Linked DNA regions of Pelodiscus sinensis. The protein of the gene in region 3 purifies or fractionates together with the protein of the main gene of each other region. This does not show direct contact. Links are inferred from orthologs where the notes say so. Each region holds a gene or a part of one and is shown on either strand. Other genes may lie near its edges.

Region 1 (7,697 bases), on a different chromosome or scaffold from region 3:
TCAGCAGCTAAAAGACGACAATTAACGTAACAATGCACCCTAATCATAATCCAGGTCCCCATATAATCAGTGGGGGGAAAAAAATCACTTTCCAATTCTAGCTAAAATCCAAGAAACCTGAATGCTGCTGGTGGGAGTTAAATAAATATGGAATTGACAAAGTTTTATGCCTATCACTCTGTGCCATCTGCAACATTCCTCTGAACTCCCCGTTTTATAAAAATAGACTACAGAGCTTTTTGCTAGTTGTCCAGTCTCCAATGCCAAATCAGATTTAAACAGCTATAAGCACCTCTTGCTCTCCAGAGCAGTAAACAATTGCTGTAGTTGCCACACAGGATTGTTAACCAGTGGCAAGGGAGGTGGTCCATGTGATGCTCTGAGACAATGTGGTCTACAGCGTACACCAGTTCAAGAACCCCTGTTCTGGCCTAATCTCATATTACAGCTGAGAGGATCTGGTGAGAGTGTGGGCAGTTTATTTCTCACCACACTCCCTGAAATGCCATTAAACGTAAAAAGTTCAGAAGCGTAGCTATAAGAGTTTCATTTCTTGGAACTGAGGCAAGTAATAGTCCTGGATGTCTTTCAAATGGAAAGACAGATGCGATACAAAACCCACGATCATGCGAAAAATGCAACAGGTACACCCAGAACTCAAAATCCTATTCCCTTCTTCTGCCCTCCCAATTCATCTATTTCAACCAAGGGCTGTTTCCTTAACTGCATTTGAGAGCAGCAAATCATACTTGTTCCTGCCTTACACATGGAAGATATTTCACCTGATTAAGAGCCAGCCTGTAGCAGTCTCAATAGACTCACCTTCTCGAAACAAAACCCGAAACTGCTGTGCCAATATTCTTCAATCAGTGCTACACTGCAGAGTAAAAAACCTCTACCGCAGCCCTGCTAGATTTCAGCCTGACAATAGGCAATACCTCCACCACTTACAGTAAGGCCTTGTCTTAAGACAAAAATTATTAGTGTTGCTACCACCAGTTTTGTTCTGCTAGTAGTAGCTGTATTTGGAGTGACAACACAGGTGCCTGGTAGGATTTTAAGTGCCATGTCTTCTTTGGGGGACTGTGCAGCACAGTATAGCCCCTGTCTTTCCCACACTAGAGCTCTCTTCAGTGGAGATGAGCCACTGCTAGGAAATTTTGGAAGAGAGCTTTGGAAACTCTACGTCAGCTGTTCAGTGTTTAGCTCTGTTTGTGTTATGCATGATAGGAACAAGAGGCAGCTTTCTGCATCAAACAGCAGAAACAGTAATATTCAGTCCAGGTTTCCAGAATGGCAATTGGCTGATGCCAATATGGCTAAGATTGAACTCATGAAGAGGCTTTTACACCAAGCTCAAATCATTAATGCTTAAAGCTGCATCTGGCTGGAGGGAGAACAAGCTTGACTTCTGCACTTGTGCCAGTTCAATCCCCAATCTCATACAGTAGCCTGGGCCTTTAGGATGAGACACACCCTCCATGTAATAAATAGTAAGGGCTAGAATCTATGCATGCAAGTAACATTGGCCACACAAGCCACCCTGAACCAGTGCATGCCCCCAAGACAGGCTATGCAGCTTATTAACCAAATAAGGGAAAGGTCTGCGCATGCAAAGCAAGATACAGATTACGGGAGCTAGAGAGGACAATAAATCCATACACCCTGGCCACAGACTGGTGCATGCCCCCAGCCAGGCCTAGGAACAAGAGAGGGCGGAGCGAGACCATGCATCCCAGGACTAGGGCTGGTACATATCCCCCTGCGTGGGAGCTAAGAAGGGGTCAGACCCATGCAGTCTGGGGGCAGGTTCATACACGCCAGTCATGGGCACCAAGGAAGGGCATGTCCATGTACCCCATGGGTGCTAGGGAAGGAGGTCAGATCCATTCACCCTGCACCCCGAAGCTGGTGCCTGCACCACCACCCCCACTCCCGGTGCTAAGGAAGCGGCTTTTCCATACATCACCAGGGCTGCACAGCTCTCCCCCAACAGGAGCTGGGAGGAGGCCGGTCCATGCACCCTGGGGCAGGAATGGTGCACACCCCTCCCTCCACGTGGAAGCTAGGGAAGGGACAGATCCATGCACCCAAGAGCAAGGACATGCATCCTCCCTGCTCCCTCCCCCCGCCCTGGAGCTAAGAAAGGACACGGGAGCCGGGGGAGGGGCGGCCCCACGCACCCCCCCCATTACACGGGAGCCGGGGGAGGGGCGGCCCCACGCACCCCCCCCCATTACACGGGAGCCGGGGGAGGGGCGGCCCCACGCACCCCCCCCCATTACACGGGAGCCGGGGGAGGGGCGGCCCCACGCACCCCCCCCCATTACACGGGAGCCGGGGGAGGGGCGGCCCCACGCACCCCCCCCCATTACACGGGAGCCGGGGGAGGGGCGGCCCCACGCACCCCCCCCATTACACGGGAGCCGGGGGAGGGGCGGCCCCACGCACCCCCCCCATTACACGGGAGCCGGGGGAGGGGCGGCCCCACGCACCCCCCCCATTACACGGGAGCCGGGGGAGGGGCGGCCCCACGCACCCCCCCCCATTACACGGGAGCCGGGGGAGGGGCGGCCCCACGCCCCCCCCCATTACACGGGAGCCGGGGGAGGGGCGGCCCCACGCCCCCCCCCATTACACGGGAGCCGGGGGAGGGGCGGCCCCACGCCCCCCCCCATTACACGGGAGCCGGGGGAGGGGCGGCCCCACGCCCCCCCCCATTACACGGGAGCCGGGGGAGGGGCGGCCCCACGCACCCCCCCATTACACGGGAGCCGGGGGAGGGGCGGCCCCACGCGGGCCGTTCCCTGGCGGAGGCAGAGCTCGGGGCGGGGCCGCGGGGCGGCGCGTGCCCGGCGCGGGGGGGGGGGAGGGGGCCCCGCTCAGTCACTTACCTGGGAGGGGGGGGAGGGGCGCCGCCTCCTCCTCGGCGCGGAGCAGGGCCGGGGAGGAGGTGAAGCAGCGGCAGCTCCGTAGCTGCCAGGCGGGGAGGGGGGAATTGCGGGGCGGCGCATGCGCTCACGGCGGAAGGGGAGGGAGCCGCACAATGCCGCTCTCTCCCGGGGATGCTACGGCGAGGCGGAAGGGACAGAATCCGTCGGAGGCGGACTGGCACAGGCCTTAAAGGGCCAGAGGCCTGTTCCGGGTGGGGGCTCCCAGGGGATGCACGCGGCCAGGGCTGCTGCAGAGGTCACGGCCCTGCGGCCCACGTGTTGCAATTTCCCTGGAAGTCGCTGAGGCTGGAGCAAGCTGCAGCTCCCCAGGCTGGAGCCCTCAAGCCCCCCCCCCCCCCTTCCCAGCCTGACCCAGTGTCCTCATGTGCACTGGACAGCCTGGGTGAACAGTGCCCCTCTGCCAGAAGTGGGGGGGGGGGAGTGTTGGTGTGTGTGTGGGGGGGGGATTCTCTCTCACACACACACACACACACACACACAGCTACTTATGGGGCCCCGTGATACACACACCCACTACATATGGGGCCCAGTTCTGCAAGCAATCCCCACACACACGGCTCGTATTAGGAAACCCAGCCCCCCCCCACTGCAGCACTGCTTTAAACCCCCATTTCTTAAAATATAGGGCCCGTCCCAGCATCATTGTGTCTTACCCAGGTGACACTGGGCTGGTGCCAGCTGTATACCTGTAAGAAGCAGACACCGGCACCAGCCCATATGCGGCGGATGTTAAAGTGCCATCACGGCAGCAAGGGAAGGACCGTTTTTAATGTGCTGCTTCAGCAGTGCTTTAACATTGCTGCCGCTTTTGCTCCCCCCGTCAGCGGCAGCGCTCCCTGTAAGCTGTGTGCTTATGCAGCCGCTCAGGAGCAATTCAAATGCTGCACCCACTGCTAGGTTTTGTGTTTCTATCAGTGGTGCAACTCTGCAAACACCCGCGTGCACATACAAATTTTATTCCACACGTGGATAGAAAAGGTTAGAGCAGGGATTCTCAAACTCTGTGATACTGTGCCCCCCCTCTAAGTTGCTCGCGACCCCCCGGGGGGAGTCGGGACCCACAGTTTGAGAAACGCGGAGTTAGAGGGAACATTGGTCAGCAGCCCTGTTGGTCGGGTCTGGCAGAGTGACCTGCAGCAAAAGGTGCAGCTGCCTTGGAGACCAGTGTTTAGAAAGGCCTGGGGGTCCCGGATGAAGTGGTGGTCATGAAAGACTGGCTGAGGAGTGTGGTCCTCTAGGCTCTAGCCCTGCCCCTTGTGCGGTTTCAAACCCACCCATCACCTCTTGCATACCAGTAAGGACTCCGGCATACCAGTAAGTCCTAGCGCTTCCTTTCACCCCTACTCTTTAACATTGGTCCCCAACCTTTTGGGGCTGCCGGGCGCCTGGGGGCGGGGCTACTCACACACCTGGGGGCGAGGCCGTGCACGTGCTTGGGGGCGGGGCCACCCATATGGCGCACGCCCGGTGCTGGCACCACCCATTCGCTGCACTCCCGGGGGCCAGCGCTGCTCCTGTGCCAGGCGCCTAGGGGTGGGGCTGCCCATACGCCGTGCGCCAGGGCCGAAACAGCCCATGCGCTGCACGCCCAGGGGCGGGGCCACCCAAACGCCGTGTGCCCGGGGCCGGCACCGCCCATATGCCGCGCACCTGGGGCCAGTACAGCCGTTGCACCGCGCACCCAGGGGCAGGGCCACCCAAAAGCTCCTGGGGCCGCCCATGTGTTGCGTGCCTGGGGCCGACGTTGCCCATATGTTGACCGCCCAGGGAGCCGGCACCGGCCATGCGCCATGCGCCCAGGTGTGGGGCCAGCCTCATTCACTCAGCAGGCGCAGAGAAATGGCCCGGCGGGCGCCATGGTGCCCCCGGGCACCACGTTGGGGACCACTGCAAGTTTAGCACCTACTCAGCCTTCAGAAACTCACTCAGGTATCTAAGACTCAAGGTCTCTCACATCAGAGCTACTCAGAGAGGAGCTGTGTGTTGCTCTTTAATGTGTCTCCTGCAGCTCCTTGCAGCACATGATATTAAAACACTGTGTGATTTAATTATTTAACCAATCTACATAATTAGCTAATCAGGATGCTTTTACTGTGTTATTCACCAATTGTAAAATACTCGATCAGTCATTTGGCTGTGAGGATAATATATACATTTACACAACTGAGGCTCTTTTACGTAATGTGGATGGCTAATTTGCCTCCTGAACCACTGAGGTTAGCAGATCGCTGTTATACGTTATTGTGAGTGGTCTACTTAAATCATGGAGAAATCGCACATTTTTTGTGGGTGGGTCATGGCATAAATAGCAAATGTCATGGCCGTGTTCATATAGGATACAGGATAGTACTCTGCTAATGTGAGGTTTGTCAGTCACTCTGGGTAAGGGAATCTGCTAAATTAAGAGTAAAACTTTTTTTGATGGGACCTCTCCCCCCTAAATTACAGCCTTTCTTCTGGGCTGCAGGCGTGCTGCTCTCTAGCCATTCAGCACAGACAAGCAGCCCAGAAGTAAGGGAATATTGTGTCCAGTTGGAGTATTGTGTCCAGTTCTGTGCACCACATTTCAAGAAAGATGTGGAGAAATTGTAGAAGATCCAGAGAAGAGCAACAAGAGTGATTAAAGGTCTAGAGAACATGACTAATGATTAAAGGTCTAGAGAACATGGGCTTGTTTAGTTTGGAAAAGAGAAGACTGAGAGGGGACATGATAGTGGTTTTGAGGTATCTAAAAGGGTGTCACAAGGAGGAGGGAGAAAAATTGTTCTTCTTGGCCTCTGAGGATAGAACAAGAAGCAATGGGCTCAAACTGCAGCAAGGGAGGTTTAGGTTGGACATTAGAAAAAACTTCCTAACTGTCAGGGTGGTTAAACACCAGAAGATCTCTTCCAGAAAAGCTTCTTCCGAAAGAAGCCTGCAGTCTAGATGTAGCCTTTGTCTTTTGCTTCAGTGCTAGTGATTGTGTAATACAGTGGCTTAATGTATCTCGCCATAGCTCCCTCCAGTAATTACCTAAGGTATGTGATCTCTTCTTGAGCTCAAGGGATTAGAGACCTATGCTTTTGGAGCTGGAAGTATCTGATTCAATCCCCAGTGATGACTGATGTCTGTGTGTCCGCTTGATATACTTGCTTTGCTGCTGCAGTGGATCTCAGTTGTCTATAAGTGTGAATAATAACTGCAGCTATACCAATTTTTTAAGAAGAGAGCTTTGCCCTTTGATTAGGTTGTGCAAAACACCTCAAAGAAGCTCTGAAACAAGCAGCAATATGCACCCAAGGGATGCTGCTGGAAGCATAATAAAAACTTCTGTTCTGATCTTGCAGAGGAGAGCCAATGAAAAGGTTCCAACACGGAAGGGCTGGATTAATCAAATAAGATCTGTCCCGGTTCTGTGCCTTGCACGCTCCATAAAATTTGACAAGGTTTCAGAATATCCATTCAAAGGACCACATTTAGGAAAGCGCTTCAAAACATGCTTAAAGTTACGCCGCTGCTTTCTGGAAAAATCAGTGCTTTCCTGAACCGAGGCCAAAGGCTACACAGAAATTGCGACAAGCGGCTTTTGTTTAATGGAGGAAAAAAAAACCCAAGAAAAGTGTGTACATGCCGGTCCTTTAACAAAGAGCTTTGAGATCCAAAAATTCTAATGGCAGTTGGGGAATGGAAAATGTCTGGTGGAGAGGGGATTCAAGGAAAAATTTACTGCCTGCTTTGGAAATCTGGAGCAGGAATTTAAAGAATTAAACCTTATAATGCAAATATGGATAAGGGGGCAAAGTAGAAGATAATAAACGGAGCTGGAAAAGCGGCACAACCCAGCATTAAGAGACCCAGCCAGTTAAGTTCTTTTCTGTTTTGTAACCTAAGGGTGGTTGGTTTGTTTAAATAGACTGGATTCACCGTTTTAAAAGCTGATACTTAATTATTCTTTGGTCAGAACAGTGTAATTTGCTTTTCTTGTTGAAGATTAAAATGTACATGTACTGTGCCCCATTTCTCATGACTCTGTCATGCTGGAGATTTCTCCTACCACTTCCAAAGTTCTCTTATTTGTATTACTGTTTTGCTAGTGCCTAAAGATCTCAAAGTGCTTAACAAACAGTAACTAAGCATCACAACAACACTGCATGTTCCCTGCCCTTAAGGCTAGGTAAAGTGTTTTAATTTACCTTTTTAAATAAAGCAAAATGATTTTTAATCATAATAGGCTCCAGTTAAGCACATACCCAGTTTTAAGTATCAAAGGCTTTAATGGGGTTGTTTAGGTGCATGAAACTAGACCCTTACCTTTGGAGATGATGGAAGCTGGTATGAAACACACAGAGGCCGTGGGTGAAGGTAGAGTTGGTGGAGGCAAGCCCGCAGACCCACCCCCAGGTCCACCCCTTCTGCTCAGGCCCCACGTCCCAGCAAGAAAGAGGGTGTGTGCCCTCAGCCTCCCCCAGCCCTAGAGCACCGGGGCGGGGGGGTAGAGGGCCATGGCCCCAGTCTTCCCAGCCTCAGAAGTGATTGTTTTCCTTTTTTCGGCTCTGGTGAGGCCACATCTGGAATATTGTGTCCAGTTCTGGGCCCCCCACTATAGAAAGGATGTGGACGCATTGGAGAGGGTCCAGCAGAAGGTGACCAAAATGATTAGGGGCTGGAGTGCATGACCTATGAGGAGAGACTGAGGGATTTGGGTTTGTTTAGTCTGCAGAAGAGAAGAGTGAGGGGGGATTTGATAGCAGCCTTCAACTTCCT
Region 2 (7,973 bases), on a different chromosome or scaffold from region 3:
TTTCCCTGGCTTCCCAGGAAACAATACGTTCACATGTCCATATTTCCCTAGCTCACCAGTGTCCCATATACTCACACTTTAGGAGTCTTTCACAGAATAGGTAGTTGTTCATGGTATCTGCTACAATCTTAGCGACTTCATCTGATTCAAACTCTACAAATCCATAGCCTTTGCTGTTTCCAGTCTGCGAATGACAATGGTATCAGAAATCTAGATTATGTTTACACATAATGTCTAAGAATTACACTAGATTGTTTTTTCAGGCTGCAAGGGTCATATTCTGTTCTCAGATTATAATATACAATTCACAGTAAACTAGGTAAGCATTACACATGTATGTCTTAGGGCAGACTTAGTCTGTGACACACAAAATGCACTGTCCCTCCTGTTATATTCATTCAGAATTCTACACTGGATTTAGACTACTCTGATAAAATTTCTCATTTATGTATGTTTAGTTCTGATGAAAGGGACTAGATTAAGAGTAGTAGAGTGGGGCCTCTGTTTATCTACAGAAGTAGGGGAAATTTCCTCACAGCACCTATTTGTCTCAATCCTTTTCTGGAATAAGCACCTTTTGCCATAGCATAAAATGGCCAGTTATTTTTCCCTCTTTTGATACTGTCAACAGGGATTCCACCCTAAGTGATATTTCTACACTACAAAATGGACAAAACTAATAACTTGTTACTTATAAGTCAATTATGGACTTCAAAAAACAGTTATCTTAACTACCAGATCTGGATTCAAACCAGTAACTGAAAGGTTTTAAAGACTACGACCAAAGTTTTATCAGCCTCTAGAACAAGACATTTATTATAAACATCCAAGTAAAAGTCTGCTTCTCAGATGGTAAAGTTTGTGAAACCAATTAATGGCTTTAGGATTTGGAATTGGGGTGAGGATCCTGAATTCCTGTAGAGCAAACAATTGTGTGTGTTCTGAGAGTCTATCATCATTTCCAGAATAGATGATTGGAACACAAGAGCAGGACTCTTTCAGGCTCTCTCTTACCCTGGTATAAATTGCAGCTGATCTTTAAAGACCAGGTTTTGGATGGACTGAAGGCAAAGAAGGCCAGAGAGAAGGTTGCAGCAATCAGTATTGGAGAAAGAGACACAGAAAAGTGTTTTAGCCTTTGAGATAGCAAATAATTGGATTTTAGAAATGTTGTGCAAGTTGCAGAACTTGGTAACACCCTAGCAATGTGGGGAGGAGTGAGATTAAGGACTGAGAGGGTGTCCCAATGATTAATCCAAGGGTCAGAGACTCAAAAATTATGACGACGGTGGTGTTATCCATACCAATAGAGAGACAAAAAGAATTTAGGAGAAAACATAGTTCAGTTTGACCACTATTTCCTACATCTCAATGTGGAATAACAGGCCCGTGAACTAAGTTTAGGGAAAGTGTAATAAAAAAATAAAACTGAGACCACCAGTATACCAATAACCTCTGGCCAATAGTTACTTCTAATTGGGAAAGTAAGTAAATAGGAGAATAGGGGAGGAGGCAAAAGTCAGCAATAACTGCAATTAGGAAGCCAGACAATTCCAATCAGTTAAGATTCTTACCTTTTTACTTCTTGAAATTCGAAGTCTGGTGACTGTTCCAAACTGGCTGAAGTACTCCTGGAGTTGTGGCTCAAAAAGGCCCCTAGGGATGTGCCCTAAATAAATTACACCAGGAGTCAGCTTCTCATGCTGTGAATATGAAAAGAATGGGTAACATTAAAAAAACAGGAATATTCACGCGCATTTACCACCTTAAACACAAAGAGCCAAAAGACCACCAATTTGGAATCAGTACAGTAACTTCTAGTTCAAGGGTGGACAAATTACAGCCTGTGGGCTGCATCTGATCCACCAAGCCACTGGAACCTGCCTGCAGTCCAGTAGGAGCCACGGGAAGGCTCCCTGCCTGCCCCACCTCTACATGCCACTCAAAGCAGCTGGTCGCAGGGGGCATGTGCTTCTGAGTGCCAGGAGCTGGGAGAGGGGTGGTGAAGGGGAACAGGCTTTGCATGCTGCTTCTGCCCACAGCACAATCTCACAGCTCCTATTGGCTATAAACCACCCAATGGGAAGTGCATAAGCCATGTCCACAGTGCAGGCAGCATGTTAAATATCCCCCCTCCCCATGGCTGTCAGAGAAGCACATGGCCCCCCATGACCAGCAACTTCGAGCGGCATATAAGGGAGTAGAAGGCAGGGAGCCTGCCTGAGGGACTTGCTGTGCTTAGGTAAGCACTTCCTGGCCAGAGCCTGCATGTGGCACCCCAACCCAATGCTCCCCTTTCCGCGCCCATGCCCCAGGTTATAACTCAAACCCCCTGCACACCCATTCCTACACCCATGAAAAAGTTAACTGGTTAAACAATATGTTTAACCAGTTAACCATGGAGTCCTGGGGTCCTGCAGGCAGGGAGGCTTGCTTCAGTGAGCCCTGCTGTGCTCAGGAAGGGGAGGACTTGCTCCAGGCAGGCCCGGCCCTACAGTTATCAGGGAAGCATGCTGGGAAGGCTAATGTTTCCCTGGTAACCAGTTAACCTTTTATATCCCTATGGCAGACGCTGCAACCCGACCCCCTTCCCCAGATGCCAATCCAAAGCCCCGCACTCCTGCCCCGTGTCACAGCCTTGTCCCGGACCCAGCACCCCCCGCTCCCCTCCCCTCCCGGTCGGAGTCCTCTCCAAGACCCCCTGGCGCGCGCCAAGCCCTTCCTCCGAGCTGGGAGCGGCCCCCCCCCGGGGCGCGAGTCTCTCAGTCCCACCACGAGCCCATCGGGGCCCGCGCGTGTTGGGGGCGCTCCGCGGCCGGCAGCCCCGCCCCCCCGCAGGCGGGACCCGGGCTCTCACCTTGGCGGCCCGGCCGGCGCGGACGCGCAGCACCTTGTCCTGGAACTCGCGCTGCTGCTGCGGGTCCAGAGAGAGGAGCGGGAGCGCGGCCGAGGACCCCGCTGCCGCCATGCCGCGCGCTCACCCTACCCCCACGCCGGGAGCGCGGTCCCGTCACTTCCGCTTCCGGGTCCCTGCCACGGGAAGTGTCTTCTCCCCCCAGCCAGCTTCCGCCCGCTCAGCGGCCAGGCCCAGACGTAGGGCCACAGCGACCTCTGGCGGACAGAGCTTGCCTGCTGGGACAGCTGCCACTGCCGCTCCCCCCCCCCCCCCCCGCCACAGGCCAGACAGCCGGGTCCCCCTCCCCGGGGGCCTGGTTTCGGTGCGGTCCGAGAGGAAGTGCGGGACCCGGGGCATGAATGGAGCTGGGCAGGAGCCAGGCAAGCCCCTGGGAGGGCTGTTCCCTGGAGAGCCAGGGTGCCAGGGAACTAGTGTCTGCAAAGGAGGCCCCAGAGCAGGACAAGAGAAGCCCCCAGAGACCAGCACCTCAAGCCAGTTTGGTGCCTGCTCCCAGGAGAATGCTGCCCCCTCAAATGAACAATCCTGGGCACGTTTTAAAATTGTGCAGATTTGGTCACAATAACATGCTATAATACTCCAGTTTACATTATTTTGTTCAAAATACCTACGAACAAGTATGTCACATTAGAGGCAGCAACAAACTTTCCTCCAAGAGCAGAGAGTGAAACTCTGGGTGACAACCCACTTCCAATTGGGGGGAGGCTGGAGGTGGCTGTGTTCTTCCCTCTCCTGGTCAAGGTACCTGCTTCTCCTCCCCCAGCTCTAGTGAACCTCCCTTCAGAGCCTTTATTCCCACGGCTCTACAGTCCTGCTAAGGGATGCAATGAAGCCCTCTATCCCCAGGCCTATCCCATTGTATGGGGAGATTTTGAAAGACCAGTAAAAGGTCAGAGACTGCTACCAATAGTATAATATCATACTTGTTGCTAACAGCAACCAAACTTGGGTTTTTTTTTGTTTGTTTGTTTTGCAGGGCTGTGCAGACTTAGCAAGATTTAAGCCAGGAGGACTAAACATCTTGCTCAGCATACCTTTGCCTGATTCTGTGTCTCTTCTTGATGAAGTGTCAGTTGAACATGATGGGGTCTATATTTTAGGAGACAAATAAGAAGCTTATCTATTTCCCTTCTGAGATGTGACTGTCAGCATCTCAGGGCATGCAAACCCTGCAGGAATACCTCTGGCTAATTAGTAATTTCAGGAAACCTCTTGCTTAGCTTTTGAAACTGCTTGCTTAACAAGTTTTTAAATTGATAGTAATTTGTTTACTCACAAAGTGAAATAAAGAGGGAGAGGTTTGGTCTCTTTGGGATCAATTCATGGACTCAGTTTAGAGCCCTCAAGGACAGCTTAAAGATGGACTAGTTGGATGGCTGCAACTGTACCACACCAAATTTCAATAATTACTGAGGCTATTTTGCTAACTTGTTGCAGATGTCTAAAATGCTTGAGATTAAATGAAGTATAGCTTTTACTTAGAGCATGTTTGTATAATACTGTTTGTGCCAGCCCTTTATTGGACTGGTGGCTGGGTCTCCACTGATTTATATTTTTTTACACCAACTCACACAAAGTAAAGTTACCAAGAGCTTTGAGAACTCTGTCTGGGGTAACACCATCCCTGGGTGGATGAGGATCAAGCTGGGTAGCCAGAGTGCAGAGCCTCCCTCCTCACCGGATGAAAGGTGGAGAGCTGGGCTCTAGAGTCCAGGGACCTGCAGTGGCAGCCAGCAGCTCTGCAGTATTCCCCCAGGAGTAAAATATGTCTTAAGATCTGGGTCATACCCATATAGACTTAAATGGGGACAGAAGGAGGCCCATAACCAAATTTCTTCAATAAAACTTTTCTTTGCCTGATGCCTACAAAACTACGGACAACTGTCAGATGCTGATGTGCTAATCATGCTGACCAGTTTCATCCAATTTACTTATAGTCCACCTTCTGTCTCATCCATGAGTTGCCTGGCTTGTTCTTAAGGGCCTTCGGCATAAACTGTGGTTTGTACCGCACCTAGTACATGTGGGTAGTCCATGCCTAGAACTCTTCAGCACTATAGTAACATAAATCATAATTTGTTCTGTAAAAAAATGATGTGGGTTGTGGCATATACGAGTAGGTCCTATGCTGCTCCCCGACTTCTGCGCACATTGGAGAGAGTACCCAGAAGTTGCTGGCCTCCCAACCCTGAGTAGGGGGCAAAGAAGAAAGGTCCTATGATCTTTCTGCCCCTCCCCAGTCTAGCAGTGGGAGGTGAGGAGAAATCCACTGAAACTAGACTTGTCAGCCATCCCCGTGGCTTCTGTCTGCCCCACCCTCACACGGGGGAGGGGGAGGATTTCAGAAACACGCCCCTCCAAACAGAGTCTCTGAGCAGCTGTGTGTGGCATGGGGGGGAGAGACCCCACGGGCTGTGTGTGTGTGTCTCTCTCTCCCAGGAGCTGATGGGACCTCTGCGGGGGGGGGGGGGCAGACCCTGGGGGGGGGCGATGCCAGCCCACAGGCAGGTGTGGGGGAGGGGTTACTCGTCCCAAGCAGCCGTTCTGGCCCCGCTTTCCCGGGCATCGCCTGGAGTAGGGACTGCGCCTGCGCACAGTCAAGCGCGCCCCCCCCTCCCCCCCGCGGCCTGCGGCCAAGGTTTGTTTCCCGCGGCGTGCGCGCCAGGAAGTGAATGAGGCAGCTCTGCGCCGGGAGTGTAGAAGGACCCCTGCGCGGCGGCCCAGGCAGCGAGTAGGGCACCCTTGCGCTCGCACCGTGGAAGCCCCAGCTCCGAAGCAGGGGTCCCGGCCCGGCATGGGGAAGCCCGGCGGTGGGTGGCAGCGGCAGCGGCAGCGCTGAGTGCGGCAGGTTTCCGAGGTGATGTCGCGGGAACAGGCACGAGGTGGGGGCTACCGTGCGCCGGGCAGGTGGAAGGGCCCCGGAGCCGCCTCAGCGTGCGCGCGCGCGGCCATAGAGCTTGCGCCGAGAGCGTTGGAAGGTCCCCGAGCGGCGGTTGGGAAGCGGCGTCGCGAGCGGCCCAGCCCCTGGGCGGCGGCGCCCCGCGTGCCCGGCCCGGCAGCGCACCATGTCGGTCAGTGAGATGTTCATCACCCTGCAGGGGGTCCTCACCGCCGACCAGGACATCCGAGAGGTCAGGGCCCGGCGCGGGCGGGGCGGGGCCGGTGGGGCTTGGGGGGCTCCGAGGCACGCGGGGGGCGGGGCGGGGCCGGTGGGGCTTGGGGGGCTCCGAGGCACGCGCGGGAGGGGGGGGCGGGGGGAGTCCCTTCCCCCCCCTCGTGTCCTGACGTGTTGTCGGCTTGCAGGAGATCAGGAAGGTGGTTCAGACCCTGGAGCAGACGGCGCGGGAGATCTTGACGCTGCTGCAGGGGGTGCACCAGGGAGCTGGATTTCAGGACAGTAAGTGGCTCGTGTCTGGGGGCGTGAACGGATCGGGCGCTGTCGTCACAGCCGCAAGGCGGCATCCGCCCCAAGTGCTCACCCCCTAAGGCTGCAAAGGGGCAGGGACGCTGTCAGACCCCCATACAAGGTTGTGTGAAGCACATCCCCTCTCCTTGACCATGCTCTCCACCTGGCCACTGTAACCTGAGGAATTTTTTTCCATAAGACTTTTCACGTCTTTTCTCTACTATATAAGAGAGTGAGTCTGTGTGTCAGTCTGTTTATTCAAGAACTGGTTGTGACTACTTTCTTCCACTATTTGATCTGAGGAAGTGGGTCTGGCCCACGAAAGCTCATCAGCTAATAAACCATCTTGTTAGTCTTTAAAGTGCTACATTGTCCTGCATTTTGCTTCAGCTACCCCAGACTAACACGGCTACATTTCTATCACTTTCCTCCTGCACAGTGAGAGCTAGGATCGCCAAATTCAGTTAATAGCTAACTTAAACCAGGGTAAGTTCTTTTTTTTTTTTTTTTTTCCCCCATTGTGTCAGGAAAATGGAATGTGCCCGAAATGGGATTGCGTCTCATAAAACTGTACAGAAAAAAGAAACACACCAGGCAGGTGAAATGGGCTGGCTGGGGGCATTCCACCTCTCTACTCCTTTTTTCCCCCAGCATCCTTAAAGGAGGGTAGGGGACTGAAGATCCCCACCCGGAACATTGCTGGCTGTTCCCTTTGTCAGGGAACAAGGAGAAAGTGCATAGTTTTCTGCATTCTTCACTCTCCATCAAAGGCAGCAACGTGGGGCACAAGTAGCCCATCTATGTGGGGAGCTGGTTTTAAACTGGTTCCCCTTGTGGACTGGCATCTGCCTGGCACCCTGTGTTGCTGCTTCTGATGGAGAGTGAGAGTGAGGAATGCAGCAACTGCACTTTCCCCTTGCTCCCTAACAAAGGGAATAACCAGCAATGTGTCTGTGTGAATCAGGTGAGTGGGGGGACCTTGGAGTGGGGTTTGAGCGCACTGGCTGCTGGCCTCACCCCTATAAAATAGTTGAGTAACCAATAGGAATTAATGCAGTTACTTATTCAGTTAACTGATACCTAACATCTCTAATATGACATTTGCAAGCAGGTAGTGTCTAGCCATCCAGCAAGTCTGTTGATATTAAATCCAGGAACAGTAAAACAATTGGCTAATCTTTTCAACCTTTACTGGCTTTCTGATGTTGAATAAAGCACAAGAATTGCAACGGCTGTGCTGTATAAATATAATCCATTTTGGTTTTCAGCCTTTATTGATGGAAGGATTACCTCAGCATTCTTTCACTTTTTAACTCACGTGAAGAGGTAGGGACAGCGGGACTCACACCCGCAGAATGTATCTGCAAACTTCGCAGAGAACAGTGTCTCTTCCTTGTAGTATGTAAGACAGCTCTATGTTAAACAACTTTGCTGTCATATGCATAAGTTTCGTGGGTTAGGAGTTGTACCAATTATGACAGGGCTGTTCACTTGACATTACTCCTGGGCAAAATAATGAACAGCTATATGGAACTCAGTTAATAAAGAAAGACGTGTAATAATGCCAATCAGCATGGCTACGTCTACACTGGCCCCTTCTTCGGAAGGGGCGTGCTAATTTTGAACTTGGGAATAGGGAAATCCGTGGGGGAT
Region 3 (6,855 bases):
TGCACTCGACCAGACACCTGAGGTTCACCAAAGCCCTACGGCGGATTTCCTAGACTAGTGGTAAACAGAAGTGGATGGTTTCCTGTGCTTAGCCAAGAGCCAGCTCTCCATATAATAGTTACGCTCTTGGCTACCTGCTGACAGTCTCTCTTTAATGCTGAGTCTTCGGCTCCCAGAGTGCAAGACAAACAAGTGCTTAGGTCCCGGCAGCAGCGTTCAAAAGGAGACATGGGCCTACACAGTAAGCCAACAAACCATGCAAGCCTCCCTTCTACCTGGGAATACCTAAGGATGTTAAATATCGGGTAACTGACTCATCGAGTAGTCAATGCATTTTTGCATCGCTAGTCAAACAGGGTGCCTCCGCCTTCAAAGGCCAAAGCCCGGGGTCAGCTGGGAACACCCCAGCAGCAGTGCCACACGGAGCCCAGGTCAGTGAAGGAGTCCCCAGCTGATCCAGGTCCACGCTGCGCTGCCGCTTTGAATGCCGCAGGGAGCCCGGCATCAGGCTCCTCACGGCATTTCAAAGCGGCAGTGCCACCCGGGGTCACATCACTAGTCCTTCACATCCCTAGCCCAACCAGCCATCTCTTTGGGGTGAGGATTTTACCGAAGATGCACATCACTTTGCCACCTTCATTCCGAAGCCCAGGTAAGATGCTGATATTCCTAACTCTTCTCAGAAGCAATTGAGAAGTCACGCCCTGCCCAGTGACTACTGCTCAGCAAAACGAGATCCATGGCAGAACAAGCCACCTGGGGAGATGGGGCACAGCAATCAGAGGCCCAGGATGAACAGACAACCTGGTCCCGAAGGAGAAAGGCAAGGAGAAGCGCCAATGCTAGCTGGCCAGCCATGCAATCAGAGCACCCTGGTCCACGAAGGGGGATTTTGTCAGACCGAGTAGCCAATTCGCAGTCTGACAGATGCATGCTGCCCTGCTGAAAAGGGCCAGGCATGCGTACATGGCAGCTAGCAACTCGCCACGGCAGCTGACGGGTTATTTCCTAAGTACACCCTCTCTCAACTGTAGCTGTGAGGATTGATGCATGTCCATGTTCTGAGCATTTGTAGGGTTGGAAGCAGGCTTCTGTAGTATAGGGGGAAAAGCAAGATGACGATGGTGGACAAGAACCACAGCTGCCAGCCAACAGAATGCTTTGGCTTTGTGACCATTCAACAACCCTTTCTTTCTCGCCCCTTCCTCAATCAGCTGAACAGTCTGCGACTAAACACCAGAGTTCTCACTCCTGTCACAGGCTGAGTGTGCTGCTTCCAGTGCTCCCAGGCAGCAGTGATAACAAGAAACTGTGCAGGACAGAGCACTTGGCTGACCCAAAGCATTCGGATTTTAATAGCTTCCTTTGTACTTGGGTCCTTAATGTGCCACTCTCATGAGGTTGCGATCAGAACACACCAACTAGTGAGCAATGGAAAACAAGCCACCTCCTTTACCTTGATTTTCAATCATGGCTATGACTCATTTTAAATACTGAGGAATTTGCCTTCCATTGTACTTTCTTACGTACCAAGGCCAAGATTTAGTTTGCTTTCCCAAAAACTTACCAGCCTGGCTCTGACACAGTTACAGCCAATCATGTAAAGGTTAATGGAAGGATTCCCCCGCACGGGTTCATATTACTGTTGACAGGACAGTTTGCAAGCCATTGGAGACAAACATTGCCAGATATTATGTACTAAGTGCAGACAGCACATCCAGACCATTCAGATATCAAGACACATGGCTTTCCTGTCCCAAAGCACGCTCAGTCTCAATCCGACAAGCACCCCTTGACCCAGGACTTGAAGAGAGAAAGGACCAGCACAGCATCACTACAGGACACGAGCCAAAAATGTATTTCCGGAGATGTAATCCAGCACCCCAACATCAGAGAGGGCAGGGCTGAAACCCAGTTTAGGAGACACTGAACGAGACCTAAAATTGCCCCATCCCCCTCAACAAACCTAGTAAAATGCCCCTTTCCCATCATGAAGAGGGCTACTGATCGTCAACTGGACGCTCACCTTGAGGATTTTCACCACCACTCTCTCGTTGTTGGTAATGTTTATGGCCTCAAAGACTTCACTGTATTTTCCCCGGCCGAGCTTCCGAACCAGTTGGTAATCGTCCTGATTACTGTGGACAGGGAAAAGGAAAATAACTGACAGGCTGGAATTCTCTCTCCTCCCTGCCCGCCCAGCCCTTTGCATCCAAAGCCCGTGGAGACAGCGCTGTGCATTACAGGATCTGCTTTCCGCGGAGGGGGCAGGCTCCACAGGGCTACCCTGTGCAAACCCATCCCCAAACCAGTCCCTGTCTCTTGGCTGGGGAAAGCCTTCGATCAAGCAGCGCAGGGTGCAGCCCTGCAGAGGGGAGGAGAGGGGGCACCGTGACCCGCAGCGAGCCTGCTCCCTCTTCAGGCTTTCACGGCCATCTCAGAGAGGCGCAGAGACAGGGGCAGCTGGGAGGTCCCCACCCAGGGCAAGGCTGTTTGCGGGGGGGGGGGGGGGGGGGGGCTTCCCGGGCAGCTCGGCAGGGCCACGAGGCGGCAGCACCAGCATGGCCGTGGGGCCCACTCCCTGCCAGAGCATCCCCCGCCCGAAGAGCGGGTCGGGGGGAACCCCCGCCACCTGCCCCTCCCCCCCGGTGTCTGGCCGGGGGGGCTGCCCCTCCCCCCAGCTCTGGGGCACCGGGCAGCAGCGGGGTGTCGCCGGGCAGGATTTGGGGGGGTGCGCCGGGGGGGTCTCCCCGCCCCCTCACTCACCATCCCCCCCCCGCCCCTCCCCCCGGTGGCGCGGCCGCTTTACCCCCAGCTCGGGACGTGCGCCTCGTAGTCCCAGTACTCGCGGCTCCTCAGGCTGTTCACCTCGGCGTACACCCGGGCCCTGCTGCCGGCGGCCGGGCCGGGCATGGCGGGGGCGGGCGGCGGCCGGAGGCGGCGGCGCAGGGGGCTGGCGAGGCGGGGCGCGGAGCGCAGGAGGGCGGCGGCGGGGGGCAGCAGAGCCAGGCCGGCCGGGGGCGGGGCGGGGGGGCCGGTCCCGGCCCGGCGGGGGCGGGGCGGGGGGCCGGGCTGCGGGGCCCGCGCGGTCTCTGCCCGAGGCCCGATCCCCGGCGGCGGCAGCCTGAGCCGGCCCCGAGCGCAGCGCAGCGAACCCGGAAAAGGGGCCGGTCCGGCGGCCGCGGCCCAGCCAGCAAGAGCGCAGCGCCCGCGGGGAGACCGGCTGGGCGGGCGGGGCACAGCGCCCCCTGCGGCCGGGGGGACGCAGCGCAGCCCGAGCCCCGCTCCCGCCGGGCCCCGCCCCTAGAGCCCCGTAACCCCGCCCCTTCGCCCACAGCGCCCCGAGCCCCGCCCCTAGAGCCCCGTAACCCCGCCCCTTCGCCCACAGCGCCCCGAGCCCCGCCCCTAGAGCCCCGTAACCCCGCCCCTTCGCCCACAGCGCCCCGAGCCCCGCCCCTAGAGCCCCGTAACCCCGCCCCTTCGCCCACAGCGCCCCGAGCCCCGCCCCTAGAGCCCCGTAACCCCGCCCCTTCGCCCACAGCGCCCCGAGCCCCGCCCCTAGAGCCCCGTAACCCCGCCCCTTCGCCCACAGCACCCCCCGAGCCCCGCCCCTAGAGCCCCGTAACCCCGCCCCTTCGCCCACAGCACCCCCCGAGCCCCGCCCCTAGAGCCCCGTAACCCCGCCCCTTTGCCCACAGCGCCCCGAGCCCCGCCCCTAGAGCCCCGTAACCCCGCCCCTTCGCCCACAGCGCCCCGAGCCCCGCCCCTAGAGCCCCATAACCCCGCCCCTTCGCCCACAGTGCCCTGAGCCCCGCCCCTAGAGCCCCGTAACCCCGCCCCTTCGCCCACAGCGCCCCGAGCCCCGCCCCTAGAGCCCCGTAACCCCGCCCCTTCGCCCACAGCGCCCCGAGCCCCGCCCCTAAATCCCCGTAACCCCGCCCCTTCGCCCACAGCACCCCACGAGCCCCGCCCCAGAGCCCCGTAACCCCGCCCTTCCCCCCCCCGTCCCTAGAGCCCTATAACTCCACCCCTTCCCCCATGTACCCCCCCGGGCTCCATTATCCCACCCCTTCCACCACTGAACCCCCGTGACCTCGCACCTTCCCCCACAGATCTGCCCCCAGCCCTGTAATCCTGCTTCTTCTCCCACGCACCCCCCAGCCCTGTACATCCGCCCCTTCTGCCACCGCACCCCCATAACTCTACGCCTTCCCCTATCACCCCCCCAAAACCACACGCCTTCCCCACCGCCCCCTCGAGCTTCATAACCCCACCCCTTCCCCACCACAGCCCTGAGCCCAGTGACCCCATAACCTCCCCAGCCCAAGCCCCATAACCCCTGCAGTCCCCCAGCCCAAGCCCCGTTACTCCATGACCACCCTAGTCTGAGCCCCATAATCCCATCCATTCCCCCACTGCACCCCCAAGCACCATTACTCCCATGATCCCTCCAGACCGAGCCCCTTAATCTCCGTGATCCCCCCAGACCGAGCCCTGTTACTTTCGTGATCTCCCCACCACACTCCTTGAGCCCTGTTACTCTCGTGACCCCCACACACCCATCGAGCCCCATAACCCCACTCCTTTCTCCCCAGGGCCCCAAGCCATCCAGGAACCCCATAATCCCACCTTCCTCCCCAGGGCCTCCAGCCAACCTTCCAGCCCAGCCCCTGTTACCTCCATGACTCCACCCCCACCCACCTCTAGAACCCCATAACCCCACTCCTTTATACCCACCTACCCTTAAAATCTACAACCCCACCCCTGGGGTCCTTAGATCCCCAGGATCCTCAGTCGCTCCACCTGTCCCTAAAACCCTATAATCCCCATGACCCCAACCTCCCCCTACTCCTAGAGACCTCTAACCCCAGCCCTATTGCCCCCATAATCCGCATGACCCCCTCAATCCCCATGAACCCCCAAATTCCCCATCTACACCTAGACCTCCATACCCTGCACAACTATAGCCCCATAATCCCCTTTGGCCCCCCAGCTTTCCCCTACCCCTAGAGACCTAAACCCTTCTTCAGGCCCACGTGGCAATAATCCTTCAATCTCCCCTTCTACCTCAAAACCCTAGAGCTCTCCCACACCCCTGTTACCCAACGACCCTTATAATCCACAAACGTCACTGCCCATAATTCGCCTAAGACCTACAGCCTCAGTCTTCACTGCTGGTTTTTAGTCACTACCCACCTCTTCCCCTAATCCCCCTAGTCTGTTGCCCCAGACCTGAGTCCTACTCAGCCTCCGTTTCATGCCAGCTCCAAAACCCGAAAATCCAACACATCTCTAGAACTCCCTGCAAGTCAAAGGTCCCAGAGCCAATGCCCTCTAATCTTTTCCATCCATGTGCGGAACAATTGTTATGTGCCCCGAAACATGTGTGAATGTGCACCACCTGTAGAAACTCAAAACCTAGCTCTGGACGCTCTGCTAGTCAGTTAGGTGGCATTTGGATCTGTTCTGAGTGGCCGCACGAGCACACGGCTGACAGGAAAAACTGCCCAGAGCTCTGCAACTCCCCATCCAACCACCAAAATCCATCTCAGTACTTAAGTACTCCTTCCCGGTTCTTCAGTCACCCCAAAGCCTTCATCACACACCCTCCATCACCTACTTGCCCATCTCCATCCAACTTGACTGGTGCTTCTACACCGCCCCACCACCATTTCAAGCTAAACACTCTGGCTACGTCTACATTGCAACGCTACTTTGGAATGCCGGAGTATCCCGAAATAGCTATCTCATATCGTAACAGCAAGCCCGTTATTTAGGGCTCACTATTCCGACGTCTCTGTAGACCTCATTCCATGAGGCGTAAGGGACATTTCGGAATAGCAGGTTATTTTGAAATCTGGCACCATGTAGACTGCGCCAAATGACCAAATAAGCTATTTCAAAATAAGATCCAAATAAAATACACAATGGCTACGTCTACACTGGCCCCTTTTCCGGAAGGGGCATGTAAATTTCACTAGTCGTCGTAGGGAAATCCGCGGGGGATTTAAATATCCCCCGCGGCATTTAAATAAAAATGTCCGCCGCTTTTTTCCGGCTTTTAAAAAAGCCGGAAAAGAGCGTCTAGACTGGCCCCGATCCTCCGGAAAAAGTGCCCTTTTCCGGAGGCTCTTATTCCTACTTCAAAGTAGGAATAAGACCCTCCGGAAAAGGGCACTTTTTCCGGAGGATCGGGGCCAGTCTAGACGCTCTTTTCCGGCTTTTTTAAAAGCCGGAAAAAAGCGGCGGACATTTTTATTTAAATGCCGCGGGGGATATTTAAATCCCCCGCGGATTTCCCTACGACGACTAGTGAAATTTACATGCCCCTTCCGGAAAAGGGGCCAGTGTAGACGTAGCCATAGTGTGTAAGCACAAAAGCGCACCCACACCTCAAAAGCACATCGTAAAAGCGATGCACTTTTGCACAAGAGAGTCCACACTGCATGGATGCTCTTGCGCAAGAAAGCTCTGATGGCCATTCACAGAATGGCCATCAGAGCACCTGTGCTTTTTCCTGTAGGCTTTTTTTGCGCAAACCCCCCTGCGGAGCATCCACACATGCTTTTTTGTGCAAGAGCTGTAGCGCAAAAAGGAGTTATTCCTTGTGGGGAGAGGAATAACTCTACCGGCAAAAGCCCTCTGTCCCGTCGATTTACTGGGGGGGTTTTGCACAAAAATGTCCTTGAGATGTGGACACTCTGCCGGTTTTTGCCGTTACGCCATTTCAACCAAGTGTACCTAAGGGTTGTCACTGGGAACCTGACTGGGCTCAAATTCAGTGAGGTAAACAGAACGGCAGCTGCCTAAAGGCTAGATTGTAACACCACCCTACCACGATCCATCCTGCTTCTT

What was found. The genes of interacting proteins can lie anywhere in the genome.
Region 1: the proteins of CSNK2A2 (region 3) and WDR5 purify together in Homo sapiens (affinity purification with mass spectrometry; 3 studies listed by BioGRID and IntAct, with this or other methods). This does not show direct contact. The link is inferred for Pelodiscus sinensis from reciprocal best matches to the Homo sapiens genes CSNK2A2 and WDR5.
Region 2: the proteins of CSNK2A2 (region 3) and NIFK purify together in Homo sapiens (affinity purification with mass spectrometry; 3 studies listed by BioGRID and IntAct, with this or other methods). This does not show direct contact. The link is inferred for Pelodiscus sinensis from reciprocal best matches to the Homo sapiens genes CSNK2A2 and NIFK.

The regions. Positions count from the first base shown.
Region 1 is NC_134732.1:17,957,578-17,965,274, reverse strand, and holds the start of WDR5 (WD repeat-containing protein 5), read right to left. Parts: upstream 3,021-7,697; 5' UTR 2,895-3,020; intron 1-2,894.
Region 2 is NC_134717.1:8,136,295-8,144,267, forward strand, and holds the start of NIFK (MKI67 FHA domain-interacting nucleolar phosphoprotein), read right to left. Parts: upstream 3,021-7,973; 5' UTR 2,969-3,020; coding exon 2,858-2,968; intron 1,704-2,857; coding exon 1,575-1,703; intron 185-1,574; coding exon 76-184; intron 1-75. Other genes in the region: TSN (translin), read left to right, coding at 5,980-6,045, 6,218-6,311.
Region 3 is NC_134722.1:46,154,669-46,161,523, forward strand, and holds the start of CSNK2A2 (casein kinase II subunit alpha'), read right to left. Parts: upstream 3,021-6,855; 5' UTR 2,914-3,020; coding exon 2,810-2,913; intron 2,139-2,809; coding exon 2,027-2,138; intron 1-2,026.